4 linked regions of the Astyanax mexicanus genome follow. The protein of the gene in region 3 purifies or fractionates together with the protein of the main gene of each other region. This does not show direct contact. Links are inferred from orthologs where the notes say so. Each region holds a gene or a part of one and is shown on either strand. Other genes may lie near its edges. The genes, in order: recql4, brinp1, sirt1 and ect2.

What was found.
Region 1: the proteins of sirt1 (region 3) and recql4 purify together in Homo sapiens (affinity purification with mass spectrometry; 3 studies listed by BioGRID). This does not show direct contact. The link is inferred for Astyanax mexicanus from reciprocal best matches to the Homo sapiens genes SIRT1 and RECQL4.
Region 2: the proteins of sirt1 (region 3) and brinp1 purify together in Homo sapiens (affinity purification with western blotting; 6 studies listed by BioGRID and IntAct, with this or other methods). This does not show direct contact. The link is inferred for Astyanax mexicanus from reciprocal best matches to the Homo sapiens genes SIRT1 and BRINP1.
Region 4: the proteins of sirt1 (region 3) and ect2 purify together in Homo sapiens (affinity purification with mass spectrometry; 3 studies listed by BioGRID). This does not show direct contact. The link is inferred for Astyanax mexicanus from reciprocal best matches to the Homo sapiens genes SIRT1 and ECT2.

Annotation. Positions count from the first base shown.
Region 1 is NC_064410.1:3,356,208-3,363,125, forward strand, and holds the start of recql4 (ATP-dependent DNA helicase Q4), read left to right. Parts: upstream 1-3,905; 5' UTR 3,906-4,148; coding exon 4,149-4,232; intron 4,233-5,441; coding exon 5,442-5,475; intron 5,476-5,583; coding exon 5,584-5,678; intron 5,679-5,783; coding exon 5,784-5,924; intron 5,925-6,895; coding exon 6,896-6,918. Other genes in the region: olfactory receptor class A-like protein 4, read left to right, coding at 179-442, 1,195-1,449, 2,744-2,956. UniProt on the Homo sapiens protein: An ATP-dependent DNA helicase which unwinds dsDNA with a 3'-overhang in a 3'-5' direction. Does not unwind more than 18 bp of dsDNA. May modulate chromosome segregation. The N-terminal domain (residues 1-54) binds DNA Y-shaped DNA better than ss- or dsDNA.
Region 2 is NC_064408.1:4,680,162-4,687,626, reverse strand, and holds the start of brinp1 (BMP/retinoic acid-inducible neural-specific protein 1), read right to left. Parts: upstream 3,010-7,465; 5' UTR 2,549-3,009; intron 1-2,548. UniProt on the Homo sapiens protein: Plays a role in neurogenesis and brain development. May suppress cell cycle progression in postmitotic neurons by inhibiting G1/S transition.
Region 3 is NC_064414.1:2,518,263-2,525,914, reverse strand, and holds the start of sirt1 (NAD-dependent protein deacetylase sirtuin-1), read right to left. Parts: upstream 3,003-7,652; 5' UTR 2,906-3,002; coding exon 2,566-2,905; intron 1,342-2,565; coding exon 1,222-1,341; intron 1,098-1,221; coding exon 859-1,097; intron 135-858; coding exon 1-134. Other genes in the region: dnajc12 (dnaJ homolog subfamily C member 12), read left to right, coding at 4,517-4,594, 5,285-5,363, 5,614-5,753, 5,993-6,122, 6,468-6,553; cytochrome c oxidase subunit 5B, mitochondrial, read left to right, coding at 7,621-7,652. UniProt on the Homo sapiens protein: NAD-dependent protein deacetylase that links transcriptional regulation directly to intracellular energetics and participates in the coordination of several separated cellular functions such as cell cycle, response to DNA damage, metabolism, apoptosis and autophagy.
Region 4 is NC_064423.1:4,513,350-4,520,323, forward strand, and holds the start of ect2 (protein ECT2), read right to left. Parts: upstream 3,021-6,974; 5' UTR 2,677-3,020; intron 784-2,676; 5' UTR 767-783; coding exon 634-766; intron 440-633; coding exon 360-439; intron 1-359. UniProt on the Homo sapiens protein: Guanine nucleotide exchange factor (GEF) that catalyzes the exchange of GDP for GTP. Promotes guanine nucleotide exchange on the Rho family members of small GTPases, like RHOA, RHOC, RAC1 and CDC42.

The sequences.
Region 1 (6,918 bases), on a different chromosome or scaffold from region 3:
TTTTTAGGACTTTTTGCCCAAATTTAAGCAAAAATGTGTAATTTAATGCATTTCCCAATATTGGAAAATCTGATGAAAAAGTTGATGGCCTCTAAAGGGCCTCAACATTTTCGGAGCACTTATGAATGTTAATTTTTGATGGCTTTTTAATTACCTATCTTCTCATTTTTTCCTCAAGGTGTTACCTGGAAAGGACTGGTGTCAGATTCTGATGGGTGTGTGGGTGTGGCTTCGCTCTGTGAACGTTTGGTCAACGTTCTTCCTCAGTGCTTTTCATTTCCACACTCTGAGACGGACGGCTCCTCCCATTACCAGCCTGAGCGGTCCCCGAGGTTTACCCAGAGGAATTCTAACGGGGTTCGGTTTAATCTGGAGCAGCAATCTCCTCTACTCCGTACCTGCCTTCATTTACTCCACCAGCGGAGGAAAGAACGCCACAGAGGTACGGAATCACTGGTTTGAATCCTGGTCATGCAGCTTGCCATCAGCTGCCGGAGCCCTGAGAGTGCACAATTGGCCTTGTTCTCTCTCTCTGGGTGGGTACAGTACAGTAGATGGCGCTCTTCTCTTTCTCCTCATCACTCCTAGGGTGACGTGGATCAGCACAAGGCTGCATCTGTGAGCTGATGTAACAGAACCGAGTCGCTAGCGCTGTGACGCTACTCGGCAATGCTGCATCAGTGTACTGGTCTTTACCATCCCTGTGTTGGGTGATTCAGTGTTCTTGCACCATTTAAAAAGTCAAATTTAATGCTTTTTAAGGCCCAAAAGTTCTCTCCCCCGTAACGTTAACATAACTTTCCGCTGACGTTAGTACATTAGCTAACTCGCCGCTAATGTTAGCTAGCTTTCCACTAGCTAATTTACAGTAAACCAAGACAATTTAAGACCTTAATTACCTAGATTTTATAGGTAGATTTCAGCAGCTTGATGATTGAAACAATTGGCTACATAAATTGGGAAAAATGGGAAAAAAATAGAAATAAATTTAAAGAAAAAATAATAAAGTCATGCATGAAAAAGAATGGGAGTTAATGGGAGTAACAAGGGATGTAAAAACAACAAACGGAAGAGCATGGCTTAGTTCAGTTGAATCAGAAATTGTGTTTCATGAAATTTGTATTTATTACCTGCAGTTTGTTGGCTGTTCTCACTAAATTTCCTCCCTTCTGTCTCTTATATATTAAACTACAGACGTTAATGTTGGTGAGCAGCACCACACGTCCGTTACTGGGCTGCCTGTGGGATTTTCCCTCCGTCTACAGCGGTCTGGCCTTCGCCACCACCTCCATGGTGATCCACGAGATCATCCCCATCGTGCTCATGAGCGTCACCAACCTGGGATCACTTCTCACACTGTACGCACACGGAAACACCCACAGCACCGGGAATAAAGCCCAGGACGCTCCGGTCATCCGCAGGGTTCCTGCAGAGAGACGAGCTGCCAAGGTCAGAACATTTACTGCCACAACTTTCATTTATTTTCAATAAGAAGCTGCACTGCAAAAAATTAAATCATAAAAAGTAAAAAAAAAAAAAATCAAATTTAAGGCTATAAATCTTCTTCTAAATTCTTTCCTGATAAGACTTTTGGTCTTATTAAGCATCGTGTAAGTGTTAGATTATTTTGCTTATTTTAGGAATAATTGTCCCTTTCAGACATGAATTAATTGATCCAGTGATGGAAAATGTAAGAATGCTGTTTTCTTTTTGTAATCCAAAAAAAAGACACTATTTAAAAATAAATGTAAAAAATACATTTTATTTTTAATGCACTTTACATTTCAAACAAATGTAAAAAAAGAAAGTGCTAATTGATTAAAACTGATTAAAATTGATTTAAAACTTTAAATTGATTTAAACTTTTTATTCCTAAACATAACAAAAAAGTGTTCAAAATTGCAGAGAATTAGTAAAAATAAGCTTATTTTTAAGATAAACTTACCTTTTTTGTTCTGTAGTGATTACATGCCCATTTTCTTTTTTGTACAATGCAGTGGGCGGGTCTAAGCTAGTTTCATTGACTGGTTTATGATCTATTCTGATGGACAACATCAACGTCTCAATTAGTGTTCTGTGTAAATTAACATTCAATAAAAAGAAACTACATGATGTCCATTGTAATTGACACAGGGTCTGTCAGTCATACTTCAAATTTTTACTTTATTTTAAGTAATTTGAACTCAAAATAAGCATTAGGTTATTTTTCTTATTTTAATTAAGTTATTCTGTTTCTTTTGTCCAAATGTAAGGCAAGAAAAAAACGTTTTTTGAATGTTTTTGATTGATTTAAAGCTTACCGCACTCGTTTTAAGACTTAGCGATTGTTTTTTTTTTTTTTTTGTAATAAATCTTACTAAGAAAAATTTGCTCACCCCATTGGCAGATTTTTTTGGCTTAATATAAGCATATATGTCTTAATTTACATAAATCTTGTCTAGTTTTTGACGATAGATTTTTTTTGTATTGTGGCTCTATGATGCGAGCTCAGCTCAGCATCAGCAGCCGGAGTCTGAGAGATCCCTCACACCTGATCTAGATAATTAATGTTTTTTAGCAGCATGTGAATGTTCTAGATTCAGGTACGTTCAATCTGAAATCTCCAGGGTGGTAGATCTCCAGGGGGCTGCTCAGCATCAGCAGCTGGAGTCTGAGAGAGAGCACAAATGGCCTTGTTCTCTCTGAGTGGGCATATTAATTGTATTAATTTCTCCCTTATTTTTTTTGTATTTCTCCTCTTCAGGTGATTCTAGCCCTGATCCTTCTGTTCATCGTGTCCTGGGGTGCAAGTGTGATCTCAGTGAACTACTTCAACTACAACCGCGGAGCTTCATCTACGTACCTGTTGGTTCTGGCCCGTTTCTCCAACAGTCTCTTTATAGCTTTGTCTCCCCTGATCCTGGCTGTGGGACACCGGAGACTCAGACAGTTCTTTAAATCCATCATCTCTCACTGACTGACTTGTGTTCTGCAGGTTTTAAGGGACGATACATTTTAATGCAGTAAAGTAATATAAACTTACTTTAGCTTGCTAGAGTGATATTGTCATGATAGGTCTTTTATTCTGAAACCTATAAATACTGTGCCATGCCAACTAATAATAAATAAAGGGCTTGTATGGTGCCACATCTATGTCAAAAACACCAGGTGACAATAATAAACATGCAAGTTTTAACATTTTATCTGTTCAGTTTTTTTTTTTTTTTTTTGCAAATTCTCACGATTGCTGCCACTAGTGGTCCAAAAAATTTTAACACAGATTACAATATAATATAACACATATTTTGGGAAAAATCACTAGAACGTGCTCAGTGTCCTCATGTCATTAGCATAGCCGCCATTTAGCTATTTTTCATGTTTTTGCTAATTCTATGCTAAAAACATTCACTGTTACTTTCAATCCTGTTACTCAAAACATAAAAAGTAACAGGAATGAGTGCCAGTGACAGGAGTGAGTGCCATTAACAGGAGTGATTTGTTTTGTCATAAATATCAATTATTTGAACATGCAGTCAACCATTTCTTTAAAATAAAGACTTTCTTGAGAGAAATCAGCTTCAGTTTAGTAATCTTGTAAAAAGGTTGACCAGCACATGTTTTAAATCGTTAAATACATGCATTTTTAGATTAAGATTTTTAGAAAAAAATAAATAAATAAATTTGGAAGACTTACAACAAGCAAATGGCACCCATTTGGTAGAATGTCCCATAAATACAAACAATACAACACTATACAAAGTCGAGGCCATGCATTATTACTGTTATTATTATCGATTAAATAAAGAAATAAAGAAAAACATTGAAAGTGAAAATGTGTCTAAACTGTTTTTTTTTTTTTTTTTTTTTTAACGTGGGACTCTTATTTTGACAGGGGCCGGTTCGACGTCTTCCTGTGTTTTCCGACCGGCTTGAGGTTTGGCGCGCTGAGTTGAAAGGAGCTCGAGCTGAGAGCTGAAGCTGAATCTGTAGGATAGTTAGTTAGTAAAAGGCTGGTTATTTGGTTTATTTGAGTTATTCTGGTGAAGTTATTAAGTTATTTCTCTTGTATAAACTCTCACCCATGCGCAGCCTGTTATTGTATGTTATAATATTCACTGTAGCCTAATAAAACCTGTAGATAAATTAGGAAGGTTCTCTCAGGGCTCAGAATGGACCGATATAACGATTTAAAAATCCTCCTGAAGAAATGGGAACAGTCCTTTATGCAGATAAACAACAGGAAACCCAACAAGGTAACATTAGCTACATGTTTACTCCTGTATATCTTCTTATACTGAGTGATTTAAACATTATTGTTCAGATGTGAGTTTCTGTTGCTCTCGGTGAAGCTGTGTGTTTACCTGCAGGCTGGTTCCTGTTGTAGTTGTGGTAATTTTAAGCTAAATAATGATTTATTAATATATATAGATAGATAGATAGATAGATAATTAGGTTAGCTAACTTTAGCTAATGTTGTCATGCTTGTGTGTATTTATTTTTCTATTCTTTAATAAATCTCAGCTCGCCCGTGCAAATGTACACCATTTGAGATAATACCCTATTTGTTTTAAAAGACAGTGATTAAATCCGAATAAACTTGATATTCTAAAGTAAGCTGGATAAAAAAGGGTAACCTCCTAGAAATATGGAGGAATAATAACTTTAATAATATCTACCATGGGAAAAAAAAAAAATATATATATATATATATATATAATATTTATTTATTTATATATTTATATATATATTTTTTTCCATGGTAGATATTATTAAAGTCTATGTGATGCTGCGATAGATAGATAGATAGATAGATAGATAGATAGATAGATAGATAGATAGATAGATAGATAGATAAGGTTAACCTCCTAAGAATATGAGAAAAAAAAATTAAATATATGATTTAATTGTCTATTTTATTGTTCTAAGGACAACATAAAATCCTAACAGTACAAACACAAATTAACAGTAAAAACTGTACATGTTTACAAAAAAACACCTGATTATAATCTTTGTTCTTTTTATTACATGTATATGTATATTTGTGCGTTTGCGTGTGTGAGTATATAAATATAGTAAATATATGTATTAAACATTGTTGATTATGTCAACTATCTGCTGTATGTTAATATTTTTAGCAGTCAGTTGAATAATATAAGCAGTTCTTGTTCTACATTTTGTGAGATTTTAAAAGTATGATAATCTTAGTTTTACGGTAACACATTGGGTGGTATTTCCAAAAATAATCCTGTTGTTGTTTTTATTATATATTTGTAATATTATACATAGACATTTGAAGGAATGTAAACCTTAAACAGTTTTTTTTATACAATAATATGTCTTTTTTTTTTTTTTATAAACTAAATAAAGAAAGCTACAAGTGAGATGTTTTTCTCAATTAATTATCACATTTTTTATGGATTAAACTGTTGATTTCTCAAATAATTTAATGATTGCTTTTTTAGGATGATATTGATGCAGCTCCAGAAGAGACCAGGCGTAAGTTAATAATCAATTTTTAATACACTGCACGTGTTTTTGTCTCTTAAATAAAAAGTTCTGTTTGTATATATTCATTATGTCCTGAATATATTTGCTCTCTTGCAGAACTTTATAAAGAGTATCGCACTCTTAAAGAGGCGAAAGTTAGTGGAGAGAGTGATGTTCAGGTGAAATCACAGGAATCCCAGTCTGCAGGAATGGTATGTACCCTGATTTATGCAGTGTTTCTGTGTTTATCTGTGTTGATCTGTAATTGTGTTTCCGTATGTTTAAATAAATTATGATTGTGTTCTTGTGATTAAAAGGACTGCTGGGGGTCTCACCTTAACCGAAAGAGCATGCCAGTGGCTGCACCCAAACTGACATTAAAAGACAAAGAGACGTTGCATGCATCTGCTCAGTACTTCGGCATGAAGCTGAAGTCTAATCTCGGAGCTCTGTCAAAGGTAAGTGTCGGCCTGTCACGATAACTATAGATGCTCGTAAATAATACACATAACATGTGAACCTACCACAAGAATATGCATTATCTATGTATGCATGTACTTATGTTATAAATTGATTGATTAAGTTGAATAATGTATTTATCACAGCTGGCCTAGGCAAGTGAGAATTAAATTGTATTAAATTGCAGAACTGTTTATTGCTAAAATGAACCACTGTCTGACACCAATTTTAACATGTATCGTATTTTGCACTATAAGGTGCACTGGATTATGAGGCACATTTTATGCGACACTAGGAAGAAACAAGGGTATCACCATGTTTTCCTTGTAATTCAGAAGGCGACGAGACCTGTGAAGCTGAGCTACCTTAAGTAAACATAACTGTAATTCTTAAAAAAAAAAAAAAAGCATTTTCTTTTAAAGTCAAAGTAGTGCTGGATGTTAATCTAGAAAACTGTTTATTTGGGTGAGAAAAGCGCTTCCCGTTTATTTAGAGTAAGCTTAGATTTCCAGTTTTTCACTAAGGCTGGGTACAGCAGCATTAGTAGCTTATTTTAACAAGGTAAACGCACAGGCCACAGGCCGATATACTCAACTATGAATGGCGCGGTTAGCGGCTAATGCTAATACTGCTGCACCCAGCCTTAGCGCTTCAGAGGCTTTATTGAAAGTCACCTTTATAAAGCTGTAATTCAGTGGAGTGGCTTTATTGCTACTTGAAACCTGACTGGTAGAATTTATACATAAGGAGCACTGATGATTTTTGTGAAAATTAAAGAATTTTAAGATTTACTGATTTTTCTTGTTTTTGAACTGTGTTTAATTACAGTATTGGTAAACTAAATATTGTGATACAGCATGATTCATGATACTGTTATTTTCTTACACTCTTATTAAATTGACTGTCTAGCAGTGTAGCTGTCTTATCTGTCTGTCTACCCATCTGTCTTCCTGCTTATCTTAAAATTTAGGAACGATCATTCTCCCTCAAAAA
Region 2 (7,465 bases), on a different chromosome or scaffold from region 3:
TAAACGAGTCATTATAAGTCACAATGTGCTTTAATGTGCTAGCTATGTCCTTGTTCTTCAAGCCAAAGGTGTGTTTTGGCATTGGCTATGGACTATGTTGGTCCTACTGTGAAAAATGTCCATGCATGTGAAAAAATAGCTAATTCAGGAGCCAAAATGTGCTTTACTGTGCAAGCTGAAGGTGCTGTGGCTGCACAGAAGGGGATTTAAGCCTCTGTACAATGGAAAATGCCGGCTAAAAGGGCATATTCACATTGATTATGGACTTTTATAGGGTGATAATATGACATATTTATGGATATGTCTGCATTTAATTACAAAATAGCTCATTTATGAGTCAGAATGTGCTTTATTTTGCAATATATGAGCATGCACTTGAGTCTAAAGGTGTGCAATTGTATTGATTACAGATTACGAAGGTTATAGCATTTAAAAAAAAGCCATATGCATGAGAATAATCATCAAAAGAGTGCTTTGTTTTTTTGGCAAAAACTGTTTAAAACCTTCTAAAAGTAATATAAACTGGTACTAATATAAAATCAAGCACGTAGCATCAAAAAGATGCATGCATTTGAAAAAAATAGCACATTTTAAGTTGTAATTTTGCATTATTTCCCTTATTTCCCCATCTAAACACTGGCCTATGACAGAATTTGAAGGTTAAAGCATTAAAAAGAGTCAATGCATGTGAAATATTAGCTAAAAAATTACTAGCTCAACCAACATGTGCTTTATTATGCAATCTTTAGACAAAAAAGTGGTTTAAGCCGGCAAAATAGTGCATATAGTGCATATTTCCATTGACTATGGACCACAAATCAGCTAAATATGGTTTATTTTACAAGAAATCGGCTTATTTTTCAGCGTAAAGGTGTGCTTAAACACCGCCATGAACACAGACTGTGAAATAAGCCCATGAATCTAAAGAATTAGCTCAAAAATGATACAAAATCTGCTTTTTATTGCAAGAAATGGGCACATTCCTCAACACAAATTGGCACATTATCATTGCTTACGGGCTATGAAGCTCCTGCTATTGACTAACTCCATGTCTCGGAAGAAATAGCTCATTCTGAAGCCTGGGAAATGTGCTGTACTGTGCAAGAGCTGACGGTGCTGTGACTGCACAGAAGTGGTTTCAAGCCTCCGGACAATCATATCTACGTTAATTATAGACTATAAAGAAGCTCATAAGAAGAAAATGTGATTTATAATACAAAGTAGCTTGAGATTTAACCAGAATATCCATTATTTTGCAAGATATGGGCATGATCTTTAAGCCAAATGTGCTTATTAACGTTGATTAAAGACTATATAGATCCTACAGTAAAAAGAAGTCTATGCTTCTAAAGAATTAAGTCAAAAATGACTCAAAAATTGTCTTTTTTGCAAGATATGAACACGTTCTTCGAGCTATGGGTGCATTTTAATGTTGCTCATGGACTGTGAAGGTCTTACGGTTCGAAAAGTCAATGCATCTGAATAATTAGCTTAAAAAATGACACAAATTGTTATTTATTCAGCAAGAAATGAACACTTTATTCAAGCTATAGGTACATATTAACATTGCTTACTGGCTATATAGATCCTACTGTAAAAAGAAGTCTATGGTTCTAAAGAATTAAGTCAAAAATGACACAAAATTTGTCTTTTTTGCAAAACACGAACATGTTCTTCGAGCTATAGGTGCATTTTAATGTTGCTTATGGACTGTAAAGGTGCAACTGAATAATTATCATTTAAAAAATGACTTAAAATTAGGCTTATTTTGCAAGCTATGTACCTTTTCTTCAAGCCAATTGTGTCTATTAACCTCGGCTATGGGGTGTGAAGGTCTTACTGTTTAAAAAGTGCATGCATCTAAAGATATAGCTCAAACATTACACAAAATGAGCTTTATTTTGCAAGCTATGAACACGATGTTCGAGCTATAGGTACATATTAACATTGCTTATGGACTATAAAGATCCTACTGTAAAAAAGAATCCATGCATTTGGAGAATTAGCTTTAAAATGACACAAAATGAGCTTTATTTTGCAAGCTAAGCAATTGTGCCAATAAAGGTCTCACTGTGAAATAAATTGCATGCTTCTAAAGAATTGACTCAAAATTATGCAAAATTTGCACTGTTTAGCGAGATATATGCTACATTTCTTCAAGCAAAATGTGCATATTATTAACTATGGAAAAAAGTCCATGCATCTCAGAAACGATCTAAAAAATGATGCTTTTCTTCTTCTTTTTTTGCATGATGCTATTTTGCATTATTTGCGATGCATTTGTAAATTGGGTATTATTTTGCCAGTTTAATAAGTGGATGTATATATTTATACATCAGCACGCGCTAGACCCCCAGCCTGGGACACACAAGAACAGTGCACTGAAGGTGCACACCGGACGCATCAGCATCAGCAACATCAGGACCAGCATCATCAGCTTCAGCACCAAACCCCGGAGTAAATCCAGTAGAGCCGCACGCGCCTTAGAAAAAGCTCTTTCTGCACCCAAAACCCAGCAAACAACCGAGCAAACAAACCCAGAACTCACCTAAAACCGGTTCCCTCCCGTGGGCTGGGCACGCGCTGCCCGCTGCTGTGCTGCGTTGGTGGCCGAGAGGAGGCGCATCCAGGGCTCGCGCGGCTGCTGGACTGCAGAAGCACGGGCAGCCCAGCTCATGCTCGAGCGCGAGAGGAGATGGGCAGCATCGAGCAGGAGAGAGAGAGAGAAAAAGCGCAGGAGCTGCACGAGAAGAAAACGACGACGGCGGAGGGATGGACGGAGGGATGCACGTGAGAGAAAGAGAGAAAAGAAGAAAGGAAGAGAGATATCCAAGCCCGGGAAAAACACACAGCAGACTGCACGGCACAGCGCGCGCGCACTCTCTACCTCCCCACCGATAGACACACTGTAGTTCAGAGAGAGAGAGAGAGAGAGAGAGAAAGAGAGAGAGGAGCGCGCGAGAGCTGAGAGAGAGAGAACACGAGCGCACACGGGAGGGTTAGAGCGCGCGCGAGAGCTGAGGCTGAGAGAGAGAGAGAGAGAGAGAGAGAGAGAGGAGCGCGCGAGAGCTGAGAGAGAGAGAGAGAGAGAGAGAGAGGGAGGTGCCGAGAATGCGGTTTAGGGATTGGGGAGGGTGGTGGTGATGGTGATGGGATGAAGGAGGAAGGAAGGGAGGGATGAGTGAGAGAGAGAGATACATACAGAGAAAAAGAGCGCGAGAGAAACAGAGAGAGAGAGAGGGAAAAAGAGAGAGAAAGAGGGAGAAGGATGAATTGAAAGAGATAAAGAGAAAAAGAGAGATAAAGGGAGGGAGAGAGCAGTAGCTAAAACATATTAAACAGTGTGAAAAAAAAAGAAGAAAAGATGGGAAAAAGGGAGGAACGAAGATGACATGAAAGAGATAAACAAAGACATAGAGAGAAATGAATTGAAAGAGATAAAGAGAGAAAGGGGGGCAGGAGATAAAAAAATATAAAATAGAGTGGTAGAATGGACTAAAAAGAAAAAGAAGAAAAGATAATGGAGTGATGAAGGTAAGGAAGGAATACAGAGAGAGAAAGAGAAAGAGAAAGAAAGGAAGCAAAAGAGAGTTATGAGTTGAAAGAGATAAACAGAGAGAGAGAGAGACACATTGAAAGAGATAAAGAGAGATAGGGGAGACAGAGAGAAAAAGAAAGAAAAAAAAGAGAGAGAAAGAGAGAGAGAGGGACAACTTGAAAGAGATAAAAAGAGAGAGGGGGAGAGAGAGAAAAAGAAAGAGAGGGATGACTTGAAAGAGATAAACAAAGAGAAAAGATACAGAGAAAAAGAGCGTGAGAGAAAGAGTGAGAGAGGGAGTGTGTGAGATAGAGAGAGAGAGAGGGATGACTTGAAAGAGAAACAAAGTCATAGAGATAAATTAATTGAATATATACATATATATATATATATATAAAATAGAGTGGTAAAATGGACTAAAAAGAAAAAGAAGAAAAGATAATGGAGTGATGAAGGTAAGGAAGGAATACAGAGAGAGAGAGAGAGATGACTTAAAAGTGATAAAGAAAGAGAGAAAGAGAAAGAAAGGAAGAAAAAGAGAGTGATGACTTGAAACAGATAAACAGAATGAGAGAGACAAATTAAAAGAGATAAAGAGAGATAGGGGGTGACAGAGAGAAAGAAAAGAAAAGAGAGAGAAAGAGATATATATACATACAGTGTGAGAGGGAGTGTGTGAGAGATAGAGAGAAAGAGAGATAGGGATGAACTGAAAGAGATAAACAAAGACAGAGAGATGAATTGAAAGTGAGAGGGAGACAGACAGGAGATAAAAAATATATAAAAAGAGAGAGAAAGGAAGCAGAAAAGAAATGAATTAAGAAAGAAAAGAATAAATAAACAGTGCTAAAGAAAGATGAATAGAAAGAGAGAGTGAGATAGAGATTAATTGAAAGAGAAATAAAGAGAGAGGAGGCAGGAGATAAAAATATAAAAGACTGTTGAAGATGAAGAAGAAGTAAAGCGTGAAGGATGGTAAAAATAGAGGAATAGAAAACGAGAGAGTGAACTGAAAAGAGAAAGAAGAAAAGATGAAGTGAGTGATGAATATGAAGAAGTAATACAGAGTGGTAGAGAGAGAGAGAGAGAGAGAGAGAGAGAGACTTAGAGATAAGCAAAAAAAGAGAGGGATAAATTAAAAGAGATAATAAGAGAGAGATGAGTCAGGAGATAAAAAGACAAAAGAATAAAGAATAAGAGTACACTCTAAAAATAGAAAGGAACAAAGAGAGAGAGAAGAAAAGATAAAGGAGTGATAAAGTAAAAAAGCAATAAAGAGTTGGACTAGAGAAACTATGACAGAAATGGAAGGAAGGAAAAAAAGAGTGAAAGAGAGAAAAAGATTGATTGAGGTTTGAGGAGAGGGATATATATGAAAGTAGGATACGTACGAAAAAAAGTAGGAAGATAAAAGTTTCATAGTTTCATAAAAAATACAATTAAAAATTAACAAATGATTTTTATTTGAATTAGAATTTTAAAAAATTGGAAAATTTTTATTTAAATGAAAAAAAAAATTATGATTAACTGTCTGGCTTCTAAATGCATGTTTTCCTGGCTTTTAGTGTGACTATTTATCAAATACATATTTCATTAAAATGGAATTCAAAAGAAAAGTAAGATCAACATATTTATATTTTTTTGAACACAAGATACTAAATAGATTTTTTGGGCAAATAAATTGATATAACAAAAATGTAAAAAAAAATCCCCTTTAATTGTATTAATTTGATATTTTAATTAATGTTAACTCAAGTTCTTTTATCCCCAATTACTGAACTTTTTTTAAGGCAACCAGTTTGCTATATATATTTTTTTTAAAGTAAATTAAACTTATACAAGCTTACAGTTTAATAAAATAAATTGGTGCAGGTTTAACGTTGAGCGTTTTAAATCTTTTTTAAAGCTCTGTACACGACTCTGCTGCTCGTCTTCATTGAACTCTGGGTCAGGAATAATGAATCTGGAGGTCCTGAATGCTTTTCTGTTCCCCAGCAACATCTCCGGCTCCAGTGTTCTGAATGGGTTCCGGCTGATCCTGCGCTGATGAGCGTTTCTGTAAAGCTGTATCTGTATAAAAGCAGCGGCTCTGAAGCGCCGGCCTTGAGACGGCTTCCGTCAGACACTTCACTGAGCTTCAGGACGTAATCCCGGCTCACGCAGGACTCAGGAAGAGCAGAGGCGACTGAAACGAAGCGCAGGAGAGGACGAGACGCTGTCCGTGGTGCTGAATTCAGATCACTGTCCTTTTAGGCTCGTCTCCAAACGGCTCTTCTGCACTTTAGACTGTTCTGCACTGCTGGACCAGACAGCAGCTGCCTGTCCTGTCCTTCTCTTAGTCTCACTGAAAAGTTTAAACCCTTAAAAGCTCAGAATTACAGAGTTACAGTCCCTCCAAAAGAATAGAAACAGTGAGATCAAATCCATTTATTTCTGCTGTGAACTTAAAACATGTGGGTTTCTCTTTTAAAAATGAATATGAGACAAAATATCAATATTTCAGAAAATTAAAAGATTAAGAGAGCACTTAAGTTTCTGAATCGGTTTCTCTGATTTTGCTACGTATAGGTGCATATTTGAGTAAAATTAGCATTGTTGCTTTATTCTATAAACTACAGACAAAATGAGAAATGGCTGAAATAACAACAACAACAACAACAACAAAAAAAGATGCAGAGTTCATATTCATAAAGTTTTAAGAATTCAGAAATCAATATTTGGTGGAATATCTCTGGTTTTTAATCACAGTTTTCATGCTCCTCCACCAGTCTTACACACTGCTTTTGGATAACTTTATGCTGCTTTACTCCTGCTGCAAAAAATCAAGCAGTACAGTTTGGTTTGATGGCTTGTGATCATCCATCTTCCTCTTGATTATATTCCAGAGTTTTTTTAATTTGGTCAAATCAAAGAAACTCATCATTTTTAAGTGGTCTTTCATTATTATATACTTTTTTCAGAGCTGTGTATTGAAATTAATGACCCAAGTTTTGTTGCTAATTCTACTTAGTATTTTAAGATCCACGTAGAGAAAAATGTTCATTTCTTCTTACTTTTTAGTTTAATTTGTGTAGTAAATATTATATAAGCAAGCCTGGATTTGTTCAATTTATTTACATTGCCTTAACAATGAGTTGCAAAATTTAGTTGCAAGACTTGGTTCAAATAGATGCTTAATTGTTCTTAGTAGTGTCAGTTTAATTTATAAAACATATTCAATAATTTATAGTTTGTACTGGTAATTAACATAAATTACTAAATAATTCACCACAGGTACAGAGCACGTAATTTATAATATACTGAATATAAAATACTGAATGATAAGTGTAGAATAATTGAAAGTGGATGCTGAGAAATTAATAGTAGATAGTGAATCGTTCATAGTAGGTTCTGAACAATTTATATTAGATATGAAATACTTAATCATTTTAGTGAATGATGTAAATAATTTATAGTTGATACTGAAGAGTTCACAGTGGATACTGAATAATTCATGATGGATACTGAATAATTCATAGTAGATACTGAATAATTCATAGTGGGTACTATATAATTCATAGTGGATACTGAATAGTTTATAGTAGTTATAGAATAGCTCATAGTAAATACTGAATAATTCATAGTAGATACTGAATAGTTCATAGTGCATTCTAAAAAAGTTCATAGTGGATACTTAATAGTTAATAGTAGTTACTAAATAGTTCATAGTGGATACTGAATAATTCATATTAGATTTGGAATAAGTCATAGTAGATTCTGAATAGTTCATATTAGATATGAAATAATTCATAGTAGATACTGAACAATTCATAGTGGATACTAAATAATTCATAGTGGATACTAAATAGTTCATGGAAGTTATAGAATAGCTCATAGTAAATACTGAATAATTCATATTGGATACTGAATAATTCATAGTAGATACTG
Region 3 (7,652 bases):
GGCCTAGGATCCCTTCTGAAGTAGTCAATATCAAACATTGCTTGAGGATCTGGAAGGTCTGGAAAATCAACAGCAAGTCGAGCATAAATTCCATCTCTGGATCTGAAGTCGGGTATTCCACAAGAAACAGATACCTGCAGAGAGTGAAATAAAAACAGAATCACTGTTACAGCTGAAATGTGTCCAAACAATAATGAATAAAAAAATCAAATTACTATATTGTCACATTAATTACCAGATTTTAACTATATAAAATCAATCTTCTGTAAAAGACATGACACTTAAGATTCAAAACTATTTACTGAAGCACTAATGAATGAATCAGTGGAATAATGTGATTTCCATATAAATTGTTAGAAAAAGGCCTTGAAAAATCCAGAAATCTGTTGTCAAATGTGAAAAATTGCACAATAATGACTGGATAATACAAACTGTTGGGGGAGACAAAATATTGATATCATTACATCATATCACTGTGGTGGTGCTAATCAAATTAATAGGGTAAACCTGCTAAATATGGTAAAGCTGCTGTGAATAAGAATATTGGTTGTCAAACTATGTGAAACTGACACCAATAAACGTGTAATACCTGATTTTTGTCTTTTTTTTAATGAGTTTTTGACTTGTTAAGTTTCTAATGTAGCAGAATCACAATATCGTGGTTGCATCATTGTCATGGTCAGCATATTGTGATAATATCGTATTGTGAGAGGCCCTGTGAGTCCTACCCTTACTTCTAAGTACAAAACAGGACAACAAGCTTACAGAACAGTGTGAATACTTCTAATAAACCAAGGGACTTTTTTTTTTATTTATACCTGATTATATCAAGATGTTAAACCTAATTAAATAACTCACCCCTGCTCCAGTTAGGACAAGTATCTTTTTGCCATCATTAAGCAGTCTGACGACATCCTCCAAGGTGTTAATATCTTTGCGTTTCTTTCTTTTAGGAGGCTCAGAAATATTAATGATAATCTGCCACAGTGTCATGTCGTCTAGATCAGGTGGAAGAACAGTTTCTGGAAGTAAGTCTTTCAAAATCGTCCTCGGGTCGGTCTCTCTCATGATGTGCTGCTGAATGAAACGGTAGGAACCTGTCCAATCACACAACAATGCATACAGGTTAACATTTAAAAAAGCGATGCACTAATGTGAATATTTACAGATATCTGAAATTGTACTGAAATGAAAGCTTGTTTGCCACTAGTTCGAACATACCAATCTGAGGCTGAGGAGTCCAGTCACTGGAGCTGGCATGAGAAGAGCAGTCATCATCATCTTCATCATTAATATTAGGAGAGTAAAACCCATTTGGGCGGACACTGCCGTCGATTACCCCTGTAAAAGAACCAGAACCATTAATATCAAGCACTTTATGTACTTACGGCAAAGATTTTTAACCTAAAGCACAACAATGACACATGTGCTAACTCTGTTTTACTGGTAGAAACTCATTTCAGATATTAGCTATAACATATTTATTAGTACAAAAATTTAGATCTGCAGATCTAAAAAAAAAAAAAAAAAAAAAAAATCGTATTGTTTTGTTATAAAAGTCGTATTGTTTTGTTATATTGTTGTTCATTTGTTTTGTTATATGTGTGTTGGTTGTATATGCTGTGAATTTGACCTAATATTGTGTCTATTTCAGTATGTTAGATTGTATTTTATATAAAAAAAATAATAGTAAGTTAGGTTATCCAACCTAACTTACTATACAGCTAACTTTACAGCTAAGACAGTCAGTTTTACTGATTAATTAACGTTAACTAAGTAATTCTGTTATTGCTGACTATGGTAGTATTCTAGCTTAATTAGTTTCTTCAGATCGATCAATAAAACTGATAAAATCCTAATTTAGCGTTAGCCAAAAGATCCTATGCTCTTCCTTTCCTGGGGCAGTCCTGATGAGTGCCAGTTTCATCATCATGTTGTTTTGATGGTCTTTGCATGATTGCACTTAAGGATACTTCCATTTTTTTTCTCTTTACATAGTTGAGTATTTTTGACATAATATGGATTAGAACATATAAATTCCTAGATATTTTGAAGCTTTTTAGTCTTATTTGAAATTTATTTTCTGTTTGTGTGTGATTTTGTTTTGTTTTGTTATATGTGTGATGTTGGTTGTATTTGCTGAGAATTTGACATACTATCTTGTTTATTCATTATGCTGGATTGCATTATATACAAGAATTAAAAATAATAATAAAAAAGTTTGTTAACCTAGCTAACTTTACATCTAATACAGTCAATTTCACTTGTTAATTTACTAGTTAATTCTGTTATTGCTGACTACGGTAGCTATCTAGCTTAATTAGTTTCTTCAGATAGATCAATAAAAGTGATAAAATCCTGATTTAGCGTTAGTTAATAAGGATATTAATATAACGTTATATTTAAATTCCCGCTGCTGTTGGGTAACGGGAAAAGCTAGTTAGTTAGCTGACTGGCTAATTCAGTCACCGAACCATCGCGAGATTTTGTAGCCAAATCTCGCGCTAACATTAGCCTCGGAGCAGCCGCCAATCGTCCCAAACCCCCTCGGTGTGATCCGGTTACCTGAGAGCTCGTGTTCCGCCGCGGGTTCGGGAGTCTGCTCGCTGTTAGAACCGTGTTTACTGTTCTCAGACATCAGCAGTCCGTCAGCGGGTTCCCCCGGCGCCGCGGCCTCAACCCCCGCCTTCCCCGGCTCCTGATCCGCGGGCTGGGTTAAATCCTCGGCCGCCCGACCCTCAGCGAGCTCCGGCTCTCCCGCGCTCTGCTCGCCGCGGGTCGGATCCGGATCGCGGCTTTTAGATACACTAATCCGCGCTTTCTTCAGCACAGGCTCTTCCGAGTCACCAGAACCGGACCCGGTACGAGAACCGGCTCCTTTTAACGAAGCCTCCCCGTCCGCCATCTTCCTGTGCTCGCGCCGTTCCTGATGTGATGTGATGTAATGGACACGGGCGCCGTACGAGCTCGCGAGCCTCTCACCACACACACACACACACACAGCTGGGGGATATTTAACCCGCGCACGTGACTCCCGCTCCGCCACTACAACAACGTGAATGACGTCAGTCAACGGAGCCCTAACAAAGACAGGAGAGCCCATAATAAACCCCACAAACCAGCAGATTCATACAGATATAAATCAATAAAACAGATTATTCAGCTGATGCAGACAAGTTTCAACTGTGTGTTCTGTACATTTTATTTAATAGTATTTTTCTGGCAAATATTATTTACACAAATCCCACTATAATAGTCGATAATTTAATTAATTATTTCGAATAAGTCAAATTTAATTTATTAATAGTCATTGATAATTTCAGAAATGTCCTAACATAGATTTAAAGATTCAATTTTTTTTTAAGTTTATTGTCATCTGCACCCTTAAACACAATAAAGTACAATAAACTTCTTTCTTTGCTTCTCGAAAATGATCCCACATAAAGAGAAAAGTATAAAAAATACAATAAAGCAAGAAATAATAAAGTAAATAAATATAAATATATAATACATTGGTGTTAAATTTACATCAATAATTAGGAACCCACGCATTTCTGGGTATTGATACCAAACTCAAAATTAAATCAGAAAAATTCAGTGAGCAGCCCATTCATGTTTGTTTCCTACCGTGGACACACAATAAATATTGTGGACTTAAATATTTTAAGTTTAAAACCATAATGCAACATAAATGACACAAAAAGTATTTCCTAACTATTATGAACATTTATACATTTGTTATGCATTTGTTTTAGAAATCATGTTACTTCAAACAATACACTTTAAAACTGAGCTTGTTTAGTTTTATCTCCAGCCCTAATCCTACAGCACTCCTACTGTACTATTCTGTATAAATGAACTCACATGAAGGAACACAGATTCACACACTGTCTTGTAGTGATGATGCTCTCAGGATGTTCAGTACAGTCAGTAAGAAACTTTACACAGCTTTTAAATGGTCTGTGACATATGTTACTGTGGGTTTCTTTTTTGATAACAATTCCATAAATGTCCTGAGAATAGTAGCTGGCTGTAAGATATACGTGGGATGTATTTTGTATAGTGTTTTAACATTTATAGTATATAACCTAATATACTAAAATAATAATAATAATAATAATAATAATAATAACAATAATAATATAATTGCATAATAATAATATTATATTATTTAGTTTATATGTATATATTTTATATGCTTTATAAAATGTGATCAGTATATTAATAAATAGAATCGCTTGTTCTTTATATAAGAATTTCATATTAATTTGACAAATAGAAATGCATAACTTATTTAATATTTATTATTGACTTCACATTGACTTTACATTGGCAGTGTTGATTAGATGTATCCGGTAGCTTGTGAATGTTTGTGCTGCTGTTTTAACGAATGAAAATCAAAAACATTTAGTTTTGTCTCGGTCACTCCGGGTCCGGTGGGCGCGGGGTTTAGGGTATTTACGGTAGAGTCCGCGACGGCGGAGTTCAGAGAGCTGCGGGGGAAAAGGCTGCTCTTATGGAGGCGATACTGAACTGCAACCCGGAGGATCTGGAGGATTATTATGGGCTGCTCGGCTGCGACGAGCTCTCTACGGTAAGAGTTACCCGCTGTACCGGCTCTTCTACCCGGTATCAGCCTCCAGCCAGGCGGGGGATGGAGGTTAACGGCTGGGAGAGCCACACACTGACCAAATACTGACTAAACACTGACCCAACACTGACCACAGACCAAATACTGACCAAACACAGACCACAGACCAAATACTGACCAAACACAGACTAAAAACTGACCATACACTGACTAAACACAGACCAAATACTGACCAAACACAGACTAAACACTGACCATAGACTGACCGAAAACTGATCAAACACAGACTAAACACTGACCATACACTGACCAAATACTGATCAAACACTGACTAAACACTGACCATACACTGACCAAACACTGACTAAACACTGACCAAATACAGACTAAACACTGACCAAATACTGACTAAACACAGACTAAACACTGACCATACACTGACCAAACCCTGACTAAACACTGACCAAATACTGACTAAACACAGACTAAACACTGACCAAATACTGACTAAACACAGACTAAACACTGACCAAATACTGACTAAACACAGATTAAACACTGACCACAGACTAAACACTGACAATACACTGACCAAACACAGACCAATAACTGACCAAATACTGACCAAACACAGACGAAACACTGACCAAATACTGACTAAACACAGACTAAACTTTTATGTTTATTTTTTAGACTGAACAAATTCTCAGAGAGTTTAAAGTGAGAGCACTGAACTGCCATCCTGACAAGAACCCCAACAATCCCGCAGCAGGTGAGCTGATTATAATTTATTATGGCTTTACATATACATTTTTAGGTATGAAATCTGAACCTATACATGTATATTACAATATACATATTACACTTAATTTTAGAGTTAAATGGCGGCAATCGCATTTGACTTACTGAATCATTGATTAACTATACCAGCTTGTGGATGATGCAGCACATAATACTGAATAAATTCATACATACTGATCAGATGATTTGATTTTCTTGCTGATACTGTGTGTGTTTTGCAGTGGAGGAGTTTAAAAAACTACAGGAGGCTAAAGATGTTCTGACTGACGAGTCGAAAAGGAAGAGTTATGATTTCTGGATGAGGAGTCGGATCACTGTGCCGTTTAAAGAGTGGCAGGCACTGAGGGACTCCGTAAAAACCGTGAGTGACATTATCGACTGGATATTGCTGATCAAATAATCACATTTATTTATGTGTGTGTACAAAACTATATTCAATTACTCCAATATATATTCTATGTTATATGATGTACAACAGAACATAATATACAGAGTATTACACACAACAGACACACAAACACACTCTCTCTTCTGACTTCATATGTACTGAATGAATGTGCTAATAACTGTCAATCATTTATTGTCTCTAATTGTCTCCAGTCAGTGCACTGGGCTGTAAGAACCAAAAAGGAACCCATGCTTGCTGCACCACAAGATATATCTGAAGTCAGCACCGAAACCAGAGCCATCCAGTCTGAGGGTCCAGATTCCATAAAGGAGGAAACATCTGGTGAGATTTATTTTGTTTCAGTAAATAACTTTCTGGATATATTTTTATTATGAAAGTCTGCGCGAAAAACTAATATAATAGTAATAAAATAAAACATCGAAAAAGTAAGGCGATATCACTATGATCGGAGAAACGTGAGTTTGAATCCTGGGTCATGCTGCTTGTCCATCAGCAGCTGGAGTCTAAGAGAATACAATTGGCCATCCTCTCTCTGGGTGGGTAGGTGGCGCTTAATCCCCTCATCACTGGTCAGCACAGGCATGAAAACTGGAGAAAATTGGGTAAAAAAAAAGATTTAATAAATTGGTCTATCTGTCCATCTAATTCTGTTTTTTTTTCTTTCAGGTGAGGATTATTGGTGTCACAGATTTCGCTGGGCAAGTGATGCTCCCTCAAGCCTGTTGCAAAAGTTTAGAAATTATGAAATATGATTATAATTATAAGCTCTTCATGCTCCAGACTTGCTTGCTGTAATTTGTGGTAATGGTTAATATCTTACAGAGATTATTTCTTATTGTTAAATAGATTAGACTTTGTGTGTTTGTATGTTGTTAAATTTATAAACTATGTTAGCTGTTGGATAACTATGGGAAATGTGTGCTATACTGTAAATGTTCAAGCTCTCAAAAGTTAAAAAAAATGTGAAGAAAAAAACATGAATAAAAACAGTCACAAACTGACAAAACCACTGTCAAAAACTGTTTATTATCATTGTGGTGGTACGTACTTTATTTACTCCAGATACACACATGTATATGTGTTATACTCATGCTTTATACACTATACTAAGACTATATCCAGTACTCATGCTTTATACAGTAGACTCACACTATATACACTATACTCAAACTATATACAGTATACTCACACTCTACAGTATACGTGCCGTGTATACAATATATTAATTCTACACACAGTATTTTCACATATACACAACACTATATACACTATACTCATCCTATGTACAGTATACTCACCAAATGTATACTATACTCACATTATAGAGCGCACGCATGTACAGTATATTCAGATTAAATATAGTATACTCATATACACTAAAATAATTTTATATAGAGTAAAATCACACTGTGTGCATGGTAAGATTTTGAAGGTGAAATTTGCAGAGTCCATGTCTCGAGGGGTCAGAATTGTTTTAGGGGCAAGAGGGGGACCTACTCAATATTAGGTGGGTGGTTTTAATGTTATGGCTAATTGGTGTATATTATGCAACTTTTTTAAAATAGTAGTTATTTTTACTCACGTGCTGCTTATGATCAGCTGTGCTGGTGAAGCTCACTTCAGACTCATTTCCTGAAGCCCCGCCCACTGAAAGCTTATTGGTGGAAGAGAGGTGACTGCTGCAGGATTGGAGGGTTTTGGTGTCAGTCATTTCTCCCAGTCGGTCAAGTTCAGTCCAGCTGACTGTCGGGTCACAATAACACCAGTTACACCAGTAGCACCAGTAACACAAACAGCTCCTGCAGTGAGAGTGATAGAGATGGCCAGTAGGATCCTGCTGCGCGCGTGCAG
Region 4 (6,974 bases), on a different chromosome or scaffold from region 3:
GTACTTTGCAAGCTAAGCAATGCACGTTATTTGTACAATGTTTCATAATAATTTAATACTGGTCAAATTTTGTGAAAGTATCGTAGATGATTGTCGTGCGATATATATCGCAGAATCATAGTATTGTGATATAATTGTGGGCAGTGTATAGTCATAATATCCATGCCCTGTGATTTCTACCAGTAATCATTACTGAGTGCCATTACACAAAAAAATATATATAAATATAACTAAAAATTAAAATAACAAAAATGTATCACTGTGGCTAATCTTGCATAATGTCACTATGTGTTAAATACAGTACAGGCATAATATGATTTTTCCTTATCGACAGTAAATTGCAATCAATCCCACTTTACCTCCAATGCCTTTACAAGTTCAGGATCGTGGCCTGTTTCTCCCACCAGCACTACTCTAGTCTCCACTCGGCGAAGGATTTCTGAAAGAATAAGAATAAGACAAGAATCAAGGCAAGTCTCCCAGGAAATACATATACTGTCATACGTCAAACAAAAATGGAAATCTGGGCTCCTCTGTTCAATTTAGAATAAAGTGACAGAAGCATGTTAAACTAAAATAAAGAAATAATTCAAATCTTATTTGATATATTACTCCAGTGGAGACCTCACTTACCCTCTGCTTCATCAGGAGCCAGCCCCAGGAAGGTGTGCTCCTTAGAGGTCTCTGCCATTCTGGAGTCGTACACAGACGAGTCCACCAGCAGGCTACGGGCCATGCCCAAAGTCACTATGCTGCTGTCAGCCATGGTGCTGTGACCCAATCCTGTCCAAAAGAAAATTAACAGTTACATCAAAAAGGGAGAAGAGAAAGTCGTGAACTCTATGTTCAGCAAACTGCAAACAATGACCCTCAAAAAAAAAAAGGAAACTTAACTTTTATAGTATAAAACTTTTTTCCTATGTGTAGCTATATTTAGACTCGTTGTGTTGTATGTGCTTCAGTTATAATGGGACAATTTATTCTAATTAGCAGTAAAGTTCTATTATTTCCAATATTGGAGATTGAAGTCATGCCCAGAATAAAGGAAAATTATGGGTTTTTTTTTGTTTTTTTGTAGTGCCTGCTTTCATAGTGTCCATAATAATAATATCCAACAAATGACATTAGAGAAAATTACACCCTACTTACTGTAAAACTGCTGCACTCAAACTCACTGGAACATTATGTTAATCTTCCTTTTATATTTGGGAAAATTCTGTGCCTATTCACTGTTTTAACATTTCTGAAAAAGAAATCAACATAATGTTGTGTATTATATGTAATAAGGGCAACAAGTTAAACATAACATTAATATATATATATATATTTTTTTTTTTTTTTTTTTTTTTTTTGGAAAACAGCATTTCTCATATTTTTTAATCATTGGAACATAATTAAAGTCAAAAAAAGTTAACCTACTATTAAACATCCCTATACCCATCTAGGTTAGTTAACTAATCTAACTAACTAGCTAGCCTTAAGTAGCTAACTAAGCTAGCTAACACTCTTGGCAAACTTAATAAATCTATTCAAGCTAGTAAAATAGTAGGTAAAAAGGTAGAGAAAAGAAGAGTTATCCAAAGTTTGTCTGGAAGCAACTGGAAACAGTTTAGGAATGCTACAAATAGTTGCTATGCATTGAAAAAAAAAAGTATCTCCAAAACAGCAACTTTGTAAGAGAGAAAAAAACTTCTAAATTTTCAATGGAAGTCGATGTAAAAAGAGTTTGTTTCAGGTCATGCTGAAATTTTTCTATTTGTCCGTTCATAAAGAAATGTTGATAGTGTAAAGGGACAGTTTGTCTGTTTAAGTTATGTAGTAAACTAAAAAATTAACAAAATGTAAATACTTGTTTTTCATTGGACAGCAACTAATATACAGTACATACACACAGACCTTTTATTAGCAAAAAATGAAACCTCAAATAATGCAAAGAAAACACGTTCATATTCATAAGGTTTTAAGAGTTCAGAAATCAATATTTGGTGGAATAACTCTGGTTATTAATCACAGTTTTCATGCAACTAGGCATCATGTTCTTTTCCACCAGTCTTACACACTGCTTTTGGATAACTTTATGCTGCTTTACTCCTGGTTCAAAAATTCAAGCAGTTCAGTTTGGTGGTTTGATGGCTTGTGATCATCCATCTTCCTCTTGATTATATTCCAGAGGTTTTCAATTTTGCAAGATCAAGGAAAAACATCATTAAGTGGTCTCTTATTATCTTCCTTTTGTGGACTAACACATAAAATAAAAATAATTTAAAGTTGTTAACAAGGTTAACACTAACTAACTAACTTAGCTAATTAACCAGTTAACAAACCTGTGTTGGGTAGGGTAACATGTTTATTTAGCTATATTAGGTCAAGTTTCTTAAAGTTTAAAGTTCTGATGAGCCCAAGGCCGATTTCCTCCAAGAATAAAAGGGTGTACATACATTTGACAATAACATAAAGGTTAAAATGATGTAGTTTTATTAAAAATAGCTAGTTAGTTTAGCTACTTAGCTGCTGTGTTTAAACAGTGACAGCTGTCTGCTAGTTAGCTAGCCTAGCTAAAGGTGGGGGGCTACTGGAAGCACTGCTACTAAGAAAAACCTTAAAAATAAAGCAAAAAGCAGTGGTTAAAGTTAATAAATGTGTTTAGAGAGAGGAAGCAGAGATAAGAAGACTTACCCGGGGTCAGCAAGAGTCAGGTCGGGCCCGGGGACAGTGCTGAAAGGTCTGCTGGAGCTGAGAGTTGAGCTGCCTGGCTGAGCAGCAGCAGCAGGAGGCCGGCTAGCAGCTACACAGAGTTCCCCGCAGCCTCCCTTTCCCACTGTTAAACTACCCAACACACAACAAACCGCCCCAAAAACCGAGCGATAACCCGTATAAAATAAACCACACCGCCGGACACGGGTGTGACAGAGCGCGTGGGCTGAGAAACGCTAGGAAACAAGTGTAAACATTAAATCCATTTTCAAGCTTTGTGCTCCTCCAGCAGATCCTCTCCCGTTCTGAATTCAAAACTACAGCCGCACCGAGGAGCCGCGCGCTGATTGGCTGAGGCGGATGAGGTTGGCGGAAGTGGCTCCGGATTGGCTGTTAAATTCAAACCGCGATGCAGTGGCGGGGCGCGTGCGCTGGGCTGACTGAGAAAACAGTTTATACTTTATTCAGATTATTTTATTCCGATTTGCTTTAAATCATCTCTTCACTAGTATAGAAGCTCATTCCTCACACCTAATTCACAACATTAATCCAGCACATATTTATGTATCATTATTAGCTAAGTAACTTTATTATAAGATACAAAGTTTTTTTTTTTGAGGCAAAATCTCATTATTTTGAGATACTATGCCGTTATTTTGTGATTCTATCTCATTATTCTAAAATGATCATTTATTTTTTTAAGATAACAAATCGATATTTTTAGATTATTTTAATATATCTCCTTATTTAAAGACATTTTGAGAAAATATCTAGTTATTTTGAGATACTATCTCGTTATTTTGAGATGCTATCTCATTATTTAAATATATTTTGAGAAACTATCTAATTATTTTTTTAATTTAATTTATCACAAACACTAGGTTAGCTTTTTGAGGACAGGCATTTTAGTTCATTTAAAAAAGAGGAAAAATTTAATTGAAGAGCCCTTTCTATACTAATATTGTTGTACTGTAAGTATTGAGTGACTAAGTATCAAGTATCAAACTTAGGAAAAATGTGTGTTTGGTTTTCCACAAACCAGATTTTGGAGTCCTATAAAACCAGTAAATCAAACTTTTATTAAATAAAGTCATTAAATCCTTTAAGAGACATTTACATATACTGACATTACTGTAGCAATTTGGATTAATGTGAAGGCAAACCTAGAAAAAATGTCCATTCGGTTTTGCATAAACCAGATTTTGGAGTCCTATAAAACCAGCAAATCATTGAAGAACCATTTCCATACTATTATTGATGTACAGTAAGTATCAAGTTATGTTACTGTAGCATTTTCAAGTAAAGGAAAGTCAAACTTAGGAAAAATGTCTTTTCGGTTTTTAATAAACCAGATTTTGGAGTCGTATAAAACCAGAAAATCAAGCTGTTTTATATAACAAACAAACCCACCATTAAATCTTTAAAGAGACTTTTTGATACTGTTCAGGATTTAAGTATCTAGTGATATTATTGTGGCAATTTGGAGTAATGTGAAGTCCTATAAAACCAACTAATCAAACTGTTATCAAATTACACCAATAAATTATTGAAAAAGGTGAGCACTCAAATGGCTAGCGCCAGCCCAGGCACATAACTGTATATAAGCAGACAGTAGCATTAACATAAAGGTGCTCTTTAAGCAACTGTCTTAATGTTAAATTGCATAAATGTGTTGACTTGACCACAGGCTATCCACCTGTCTGTTTATAAGAAGCCAAGAACTACAGAGGAGAAGTAAGTAAGTGAAGCTGGGAAGTCTGAAGTCTGAGTCTTCACAGAATAAATATTTATTAAGCTGCTGCTGGGACTTCACTGCTCTGCGCATCTTAAATATTAAGCCAACACAGATACCACATGACAGGCCTCTGAAAAATGAAGATGTCGCCTGTCTCCCATATCATTTCACAAAGAAGAAGACTGGCCCTTTTTTTTTTTTTTTTTTTTTCAAATGAGAGCTTCTTCAAAAGTCTGTGTCTTTGTTCTGCTCCAGCTCACCAGCGCGGCGGCTCCAGAGGCCGAGGCTCATAACCAATTCCTCCCAGGCGGTGGTTAGGGGGGGTGGCTGCTCCTGCGGCTGCTGAGGCTGCTGGGACCGGCTTCAGAGGGGCCTTGAGAAACCTGTGTCTGTGCCCGGGCTGAAGGACACACTGATGAGGACTGGAGAGATTCTCTCTTTTTGTTTTTTAGCCTCTGACTCTGAGTGACTGTGTGGCAGATTCAGCCCTTTGTTGCGACTGTGTGCTCTCCCCCCTTCTGCCTCTCCTCATAGGCCCACTGGAGCTTGAAAGCCCCCCTCTGTAGAACAAAGCCCGGTGAAGCCTGCTTTTACCACCTTCTCCTTTCTGTCACTCTCTGAGAGGCGCACCCAGCGGTCTCCCCCAGGTGGACCACCTGACATGAACTAAACGGTCGCGTGGCAGAAGATGAACGTCTATCACAAAGTCACAGTAGGTAGTCTTTCTGAGATTTCAGAGAGCTCCTGAGCGAACGGAATTTATTTAGGGAATGGAGCGCTGTAGTAAAATACTATTTGTCATAGAGTAGACAGTGTTTTTGCTGCATTTTTAAACAGCAGGTTGGATTTCACCTGCTGCGCTAAAACCTCACCTGTACCGCTAGTGCTACCTTTTATATTCCTCACATCATCAAGACCAAATGAACTTGGATTTATTCAAAAAAAAAAGAAAAAAAAGAAAAGAAACAGAAGTGCTTTTTTCAGCTGTCTTTTTCTCTGCTTCCCGTTTGACAGTTTGGCAGGAAGAAACGAAATTAGAAGAAATTAAACTGACACTTTTCAGAGCAAGGAGCGATTTCACTGCTATTAACAGATGGGGTGACTTACAAAATGAGATTCCTCAATTCCTAATCCTAACCCTTCATCACTGAATAAAATAGATCCATAGACAAAAACTATATATATTAAAGAATTTAATATATATATATATATATATATTATTATTATTTTCTTGAAATATATATATTAAAGAAATATATAAAATAATTACTGTAAAGGTAAGTGATCTTATTATATGTTATTCTCCATAATAGAGCCACTGTGAAGTCTTTATTGTATCAACGGAGGCTTGAGAAAAAAGTGAGACTCTCTCTGTCTGTCTGCACCAAAAACTAAAACTAAAACTAAAGCTAAAGCGGAGGTGGACCATGCAACATGACAATGACTCTTGAAAACGTCTAGTATATCCACCAAGAAATGGCTCGAAGGAAAGAAATGGAGATTAGTGGTGTGCCATATTGTATCGTGCACAATAATATCGCCAACCTTTTTGAATATCTTGAACTATAATATTATACCCTTAAAATATTGTGCCATATCACCCACCCCTAATTATCACATCAGTGTACTACTTTTTTTTGCAGTTTTTAGCAAAAGAAAAAATCACTCTGTTCTCATTTACCATTATACCGGTATATCTACTAGAGACTATAGATTATATCTGTCCAGTATCATTTATTTTACTTTAATCCTGGGAATATGGAGATATTTGGAGTGCATTATTATTAGTATCATGACATTCTGGATAATTGACTTCTGTTACAAATCTGATAAAAATCCGTGTTTTTTTTTTATATCTCAGTTAGGGGTGTAGCATATTATATCGTATGCACTAATACAATTAGATTTTCATTTTGTTGCAGTAGTGTATTCTTGAAATATATATATATATATATATATATATATATATATATATATATAGTATATATATATCGTATATATACATATATTGTCTATATATACGTATGTGTTTTATATGTTTATATATATATATATATACATATATATATATATATATATATATATATATATATATATATATATATATATATATATATATATATATATATCATATGTTTTATATATATTTATATATATTATTCAGTGTTTTCTCATATTGCCAAGAGTATTGTTATTGCGAAAATACCACATAATACCAATAAATATCATGATATTATTTTTAGCACCATATTGACACCCCTACTGGAGATAAAATGCTTAACTGAGATTATAAGGGAAAAGTTGTGATGCTGCCAAAATGATTTTAAGACCAGTGATTTCCTAATGGCTATTAGGTAACACTGAGTGTTCATTAATATGAGTTACATGTAAAGTCCTAGGTTAACCATGGCTAACATAACTAGTCGTTTAAAGTCTGGAAGGTTTTTTGATATTAATATTTTTCTGATATTTACACACCATGTATAAGTTTTTGGCTTTGCTTCCTGTTTTCACCTAAATGACTTTTATTGTGAAACAAACTAGT